Linked DNA regions of Bombyx mori. The protein of the gene in region 1 binds, or shares a complex with, the protein of each later gene. Links are inferred from orthologs where the notes say so. Each region holds a gene or a part of one and is shown on either strand. Other genes may lie near its edges.

Region 1 (3,651 bases):
AACAAAAAATATCACCAAAGAAAAACGTGTGTTCAGTAGATAGTCGGTCCCCCGGGGCGCGCTACAGGCGGTGGGGGGGGTCCAGGGTGCTGCAGCGGCAGTTGCAGGAGCTGACCGGGCACTCCGCGTGCTCCCTGCAGCACACGGGACTCATTGGCACGCGCTCCGCATGTTGGGAGCTGTGTCACTCTCATTATATTTTATTTATATTCATTCTATAACTTCGCTCTAACGTCCTGAGCCCGATGGCAGCAGCAGGGCAAAAACAATATCATCTTATTGTCAGTTTCGGTGTCATAAAAACTTTTTTTTTTTTTTAATCTGAATTTTTTTATTTTTTTTTATAGCTTAGGGGTCTGGACGAGCTCACGGCCCACCTGGTGATAAGTGGTTTCCGGAGCCCATAGACATCTACAACGTAAATGCTGTCACCCATTTTGAGATGAGTTCTAGTTTCAATATAGTTACAACGGCTGCCCCACCCTTCAAGCCGGAACGCTACTGCTTCACGGCAGAAATAGGCGGGGCGGTGGTACCTACCCGCGCGGACTCACAAGAGGTCCTACTACCAGTAATTACGTAAATTATAATTTTGCGGGTTTAATTTTTATTACATGATGTTATTCCTTCACTATGGAAGTCAATCGTGAATATTTGTTCAGTATGTATTTTATTAGAAAAACTGGTACCCACCTGCGGGATTCGAACACCATCGCATCGCTACATACGAATGCACCAGATGTCTTATCTTTTAGGCCACGACGACTTAAATATATAAGTTTATAATACTTGTTCGGAAACGGAGAACATTAGACAGAGAGCGCACGGGAGCGGGCGGCACGTACTTGAACCAGTCCATGAGGTGCGCGGCGTGGCCCCCGTGCCTGCAGGCCACGCACCAGCTGAACCAGCGGGGGAAGGCCGCGCCCCCAGCGCCGCCGCCCGCCGCGCCCCCCGCACCGCCCCCCGCGCCCGTGCCCAGATGCAGCGAGCACACGGCGCAGCGCGGCAGCGGCTTGCGGCAGTTCGGGCACGACGAGATTTGCTGAAACATCGCGCCCCCTGCTCGGAACCTTCTCGGAAACGTCTTAAGGCTTCGTCAAACAGAACGCGTAATTAGCGCGCATCAGAGCGCTACGCTATGACGCCGAGATGTGCTGTACTACTACTATGGTAACATACCGTCAAACAGAGCCCCAGCGCTAGCAGTACGCAAAGCTCTGTCGCGGCGTTAGGACGCTTTGACGTCAGGCATTGTAATTTTTTACAAATTTTATTTTAGCGTCCGAGTGAATGTATATTAAAATACTGGATAATGCCCGAAAAATTGATAGAATTAGTTAGGAAATATCCATGTTTATACAATGCCACATCTGAATCACTCGACATCTTGAAACTTTTTAATTTTCACACTGCTATCGAAAGGCACTATAATTTGGCGTTATGTTGCGTCAAGGAGCGTTGGGCTCGTCTAGTCAATTTGTGTGACATGAAAAGAGCGCGACGTTAAAACGCCGCGTTAAGAACGTGTTCTGTTTGACGAAGCCTTAAACGATAGTTGTTAACGAACGAGGCGCTGCCGCCCCCCCCCCCCTCCACGTGCCGCGGGACGCGCGCCATTTCATTCCGCCGCCGACCGGCCGTGCGATCACGCGCGCCCACTTCATACAATTTTGTTGGCGCGTCCATCACCAAGAAGCCTCCGTGATTTAAGAAAAAAACACGCGCGGCCATAACAAACAATTTGCTGCCGCGTGTAATTTCAAGAAGCCTCGTTAACAATAGTTATAAGTTCGATCTGGGTTTTTTGATTTGGGATTGACAATAATTGATTTAAAATGTTTATAACTAATTAATATAAGAAGTTAACGTTTTTTTTTCTCATTGCTCACGAGTGTTTCTGAACCCATAGACATCAATAACAAAGATGCCGCCACCCAGCTTGAGATATGAGTTGTGAAGTTCAGTTCTATAGTAGAACTGCTACCCCACTCTTCGAATCGGAACGTATTACTACTTCGCGGCAGGGGGGGGGGGGGGCGGAGGTACCGGTAACGTAGCATTTCATCACTATATGAAGTATGTAGGTCGCGGGGGAATGTTGTATTTACCTTCATCTTGGCGGCGGGCGGCGGAAGGCGCGCGAGCGGCGGGCGAGGCCGGGCCCCCGCGGCCGCCGCCACGGACTTGCCGCAGTAGGTGCAGGCCACGCACACGTGGCGCACGGCGGCCGCGGCGCTGCCCCCGCACACCCACGTGTCCAGCGCGCAGCGAGCCCACCACAGCCGCCAGCCGTCCAGCAGCCCGCGGTAGCTGCCCGTTACACACAACACTTCGCATTACTCTCTTCACAAGACTGCACTGCTGCTGCCGGAGTGCCGTCCTGTCTCAACGAGTCTATAGTCCTCGACAGCCCGCGCACGACACCGAGCACGCGGTGCGGCAGCCTGTCCTACCCGTCTGCTCCAATAATCGCTTGTGACTGAGAAAATTATAAACTCTTTTTTGTGAGCCCATCTGATGTTAAGTGGTCACCGGCGCCCGTATATGCAGTCTTCTGGAGACGTCGACGCAAGGTCGACAGCATAAATGATTCCACACATTCACATATTTTGCGGGTACCACTTTAATGTCCCTGTTGCTAACGGTGGGGTCAAACTGTAAAACTGTTCAATAAATGAAAACCAAATTTTCCATTAACTATAGTGTGCGCGGAAGGGCTAGTCACCGCCTGCTGTATGCGAGCGGCAGGGCGGGCGAGGTAGACAAACGTCAAGCTAACTCAGTCTGCCGTCGACCACCGCGGCGGTTGTACGATACAGTTGTTCTTGCCAGTTTGTTCCAAACATACACGAGATAAAATATCCTAAGATGGGTCCACCAATAACACGATCAGTGTAAAATGTAATTTACAATGTGCACAATTTTTTTTCTCAGACCGTAATTAGAATTGTAGCTGAAGTAAATTCGAATCGGCAAACATCGGAAAAATCAAAATTTACTTCTCCATGAAAACCTAAAAAAATAAAAAAGAGAATCTACATTGATGATTTCGACATGGGGGTATTACGATGGAAAATTCATAAATTTTTGTTGGTAAAAAAATCAAAATAGATAAATAAATAATTATTTTTTTATAATGTACTATAATGGTGATAGTTTTTTTTTTTTCTTTTTAAGAAATGTTCATTTGCTTATAAAATTGTTTTGTTTCGTAATAAAATATAATAAACACTTTTGAATATGCATTTTTTGTTTAACCAGGAAATAGAAAAATACAATATTAGAATTAGGCACCCATTACATTAATTCTAATATGTTATTCTGAGATTTATCTGCACTTAATATAATATCGTGTGCGTCTTGTCAATCGCGCTCTCCCCCGTCTCACCCCGCTACATACCTCAGGAGATGACCAGCGTTTCCGCGCGCACTACAAGTGCACTGTTATACAAGAATGTAATAAAATAATTTGACACTACCATGAACGCACGGCGCGTCTACGTATTGAATTAGGTATATACAAATCACAATTTAATGCCTCTTTTGCTAGCGGTGGGGTCAAGCCGTAGAAATGTTCAATCAATTAGTAAAAATCTATGATACTATGATAGTTGATGTGGGTCGGTGTGGGGCAGGGCGCGGTACCTG
Region 2 (4,310 bases), on another chromosome or scaffold:
ACGTGTTTGGGGCGACGTCGACTGCTTTCCATTCTGTCCGCAGGATCGGGAATGGAACTTGCATATATACAAGTTCTGAACATCAACATTCGGACTGTCTGTCACCCGCTCGGTTGAATATCTTCCTTTTGTCGTATACTCTCCAAACTATGACAAAAATCTTCCCTGGGCTATAGACAACTATAAAAATTTGCAAATCTATCAAGTAAATGAATGAAGCCAAATGTTTACATTCACTACAAATACAATACAAAAACTGATAGTTTTAAATCACTGCTAACAGTAGACATTGTCAATGGCAGGGGCACATCCAAGTCACTGTCTAGAATTATCATTATTTCAAGTAATAAGTATTTTAGATATTTACATATAAAAGTAAAAGTGTATATTTAATACATGGATTACAACATATAAATTAATACTTACTCATAAATAAAAACTTTTCCATTACAAGCTGTGCTCTTATCAGATGGTACTGATGCTAAGGCATTTGTTGTGTTAGGTTCATCGCTGCCTACTGCCAACATTGGTGGGTTTCCTACCCTAGAAAAAAAATGCAATATTGAAGATATTATAAAAAAGTCACTAATACAAGCCAACAGAACAGTTTTATTTTACACAGTAAAAACACAATTTGCTCCCAAAAACTCTCTCTTACTCTCACTTTCAACCTCTAAACTAAATTCCCTGCTGTTTTATGAGTATCTGGGGACTTAAAAGAGCTCTTTGTTGACTACACGTTATTATTGTTGTTGTTGTTGTTGACTGTTGTTGTTGACTACTTGTTGTCCATAAGTGACTATATCCAGTTACGATCAGATGGGCTATTTGCTACATCCAATTATAATAAAAATACATACCTACCTAGACAATGAAGGGTTCCATGATAAACAACTAATTGAAACTTTCGTCGGTATCTCGTGCTGGAGGGTCCATTGTGCCAAATTCATCACATCCGGAGCCTCATATATTCTGTAAATCAAACAGAATGTTGTTTTCGCTTCAAACAGATTAAAGTGAGAAGATGAAGAGCAGTATTGCTATACCAGTAACAACATAGCCTTATGTGGATTCTGAGGTCAACTATTTATCTAGAACGACACAGAATTAATTCAAATGAAAAATGGTAATTAGCTGAATTTAATTGTTGAAAATGTAGAAAACCAGGTAATGCTTACAGCTTAGATTACATTAGTAGCTGCCAATATTGTTACATAAATCATCACTCACATTTAGACCCAAATTCTTAACCATCTAGTAAAACAGCCTACAAATTAGAAAACGAGACTGTTTCATTGCAGAAATAGGCAGGGTGGTAGTAGCTATCAGTTTATGCTTGAAATAAGTAGTACCAGGAGGTTTTACTGATGTGTAGTGTTATGGATCAACATAATACCTTATAATGCCATCAGCTGAGCATGTAACTAGTAGTAGACCTAAATGTTTAGGTCCAAATTTAACATCTGTTACTGAAGTTCTTGAATCAACGAGGTTTGACCGCTTCAGCCATGTACGTAAACTCTTTTCAGAGCCTGTTGCTGTGGTGTCACCTGAATACAATATTGAATACATATTTATTTGAACCAATCATTTTGAACTATATACTCCTACTATTCTGCACTTGGCTTGTGTATATCTCTGCATGACTAGTGATGGTGCTAGTGATGACTAAATAGGCCATTCTTTGGTCACAGTTTTTCACACTTTATGTCTGTTAAAATTTATATTATTTTGCAACTTCCAAGCTAGGTTTCCTAGAATGTAATTTTTTTATTGCTTAGGTGGGTGGACGAGCTCACAGCCCACCTCATGTTAAGTGATATGGGATCTAAGATCTCAGTCTGTCTACCCAAACACAAAAAACTAATGAAAGCTTTCAGAAGTACATTGAATGTACCATGATGCAAAACTATGAAAAGCAGGCACCCTACACCTTACATTCTGCAAAAAATGGGTAAATTGTGGCTAAAACTTACAAGAATATACTATAATCTATATATATAAAAATGAATTGCTGTTCGTTCGTCTCGCTAAAACTCGAGAATGGTTGGACCGATTTGGCTAATTTTGGTATTGTATTATTTGTAGAGGTCCAGAGAAAGTTTAAAAGGTAGCTAAATATAAAAATGCTCAGAATTAAATAAAAATAACAATTTTGTTTTCCTTTAATATGTCCCCCGCCGGAAGGATTCCTTTTTTTGTTTTAGGTTTATTTTATACAAAAGTTTAGTTTATTTATTGATTGAGGCACTACGAAGTCTGCCAGGTCAGCTAATTATACATAAAATATATTATAAAACAACTCATCTAGAAAAAGTAATAAATTTAATGCTAAATGGTATGAACAAATGGTTCCACATACCCACTTCCTCCCAAATAGCAGCTGTTCTATCAAAGGAGCAAGTCGCAATGACCTGTCCAAACTCTGGGTGGGCCCATGTAACTTTCCAAACAGAGCCGTGATGAGCCTTCCAGCTCGCTGTCATCCGCCAGCCTCCATGCCCGTCTGTGTCCCATATCTAAGATAAAAAATAACATATTCCAAATTATTAACTTTCACGATTGCTTATTACTACGAAGCAACAAAGCTTTCGTGAATTACCAGAAGACTAAAAAAATTTCATTTTACCACGTTTTACAACTATACGTACGTAAAACAAAGGTACGTACTCTAATTAAAAATAATATAAAGAATGTACCTTTACGTATTGATCACTGGAACAAGTGGCCATTCTCTCCCCGTAGAAGTCGTACGCGACATCGTGAATAAGGTCTTTGTGATCGGCATGTATCGTTTGGGCCTCGAAAAGGTTCGTAGCTATGTTTTCACTCATTGTTATTATGAACTAACAGTGTTTTTTCCGTTACATTAATCCCAATTTATAACCTCAAATTAACAGAAAATGACATTAATGACAGTAATAATTCCATTTTTCAATATGAAAGGCGAAAGTATCACTTCATACAGACAATTTTTTTTTATATTCTGTTAAATGAAAAACAACGTAAAGGGAAAGATTATATGGATGAAATTAAATAAAATGAGGTGAGATGGGATGAAATAAAGTCACAGTAAAATGACAGTTATTTAAAGAGACTTTAGTGGACTTTTTGGAAGAGTCCGAAAAGCCATGTCAAGCGACTGTTTCATTTTCCCACATGCGCTTTTACGGATGCAAAACAGTAATTAAAGCACCATTACTACACGTTTAAGCCTTCGTCAAACAGAACGCGTACTTAGCGCGCGTCAGAGCGCTAAACTAACGCCGCGCTATGACGCCGAGATGTATTGTACTACTACGGTATTATACCGTCAAACAGAGCGCCAGCGCTATAGCGCTCATAGTATAGTAGTACAACACATCTCGGCGTCATAGCGTAGCGCTCTGACGCGCACTAATTACGCTTTCTGTTTGACGAAGCCTTTAAGCCTGAAGAAACACTAAATTAAATAAAAAACAATACACACAACTTCGGTCCTGGCGTTTCCGCCAAAAACTCGTTCATTTGTGTCTGTCTGTCCATCTTATTCTTTAGGTCACCACAATTGTTTTACAGGATATCGATAAAGGATTTAATCTCATCCCCAGCAATTAAGCGGTCCTTCCCGGAGTGGCACCCATGTAGATTAAATGGGAGAAACTTGTGGTAACTTGGGAAAACTTGTTAAAGAGCCTCAGTCCATGAATGAAAACAGCATAGATAATAATAATTTATAATATATAATTTATAAAAGGGAAGCAATTCAAGCAGTTCGTACCCCACACGACGGAAGACCAATGCTGTAAATAACAGTGGTCTTTCGTTAGACGTTAGTACCCGCCTTACCATGTTTTTCTCCCAACATCGATGTCGTATTTATTACCTACCATTCCTACACTAAGATCTATAGATGTGTGAAAAGGCTCATGATATACTTTGAAAAAAAAAACAATTAAAAATTATAGGCATTTAATAAAATTAGTAGTGTACTAGCTAATTTAATTACATAGATTAACAAGGAAGCTAATATTATTTATAAATATAACAAATTCATACACAAAAATACATCAATTATTAACATTATTGTCAAAATAAACACGAAAACAGAACAATTTAGATAGATGCAAAATTTGTATATGATTAACTAATTATGAGTGTGATAATTTTCATTAAACAGATCTCCAATAACTTGACCAATTTGTCAAATAGACAATTACGTATTTTTTTTTAATTTACTACACACTTTAAGTGTTCAATGATAATATTTAACATTTGTTAAATAAAAAGAGGAGTTGAAAATATGTTATGTTTATTATTTTTAAATTACT

The links.
Region 2: GATOR2 complex protein MIOS (region 1) and sec13-like protein share a complex: the UniProt entries of both Drosophila melanogaster proteins name them as parts of the GATOR complex. The link is inferred for Bombyx mori from reciprocal best matches to the Drosophila melanogaster genes mio and Nup44A.

Annotation. Positions count from the first base shown.
Region 1 is NC_085114.1:15,836,371-15,840,021, forward strand, and holds part of GATOR2 complex protein MIOS, read right to left. Parts: coding exon 3,649-3,651; intron 2,314-3,648; coding exon 2,112-2,313; intron 1,046-2,111; coding exon 846-1,045; intron 135-845; coding exon 62-134; 3' UTR 1-61. UniProt on the Drosophila melanogaster protein: An essential component of the GATOR subcomplex GATOR2 which functions as an activator of the amino acid-sensing branch of the mTORC1 signaling pathway.
Region 2 is NC_085125.1:13,431,480-13,435,789, reverse strand, and holds the start of sec13-like protein, read right to left. Parts: upstream 2,882-4,310; 5' UTR 2,835-2,881; coding exon 2,700-2,834; intron 2,520-2,699; coding exon 2,363-2,519; intron 1,551-2,362; coding exon 1,397-1,550; intron 973-1,396; coding exon 865-972; intron 544-864; coding exon 427-543; intron 1-426. UniProt on the Drosophila melanogaster protein: Probable component of the nuclear pore complex (NPC). Involved in maintaining the localization of another nucleoporin Mgtor to the nuclear envelope of early meiotic female germline cells.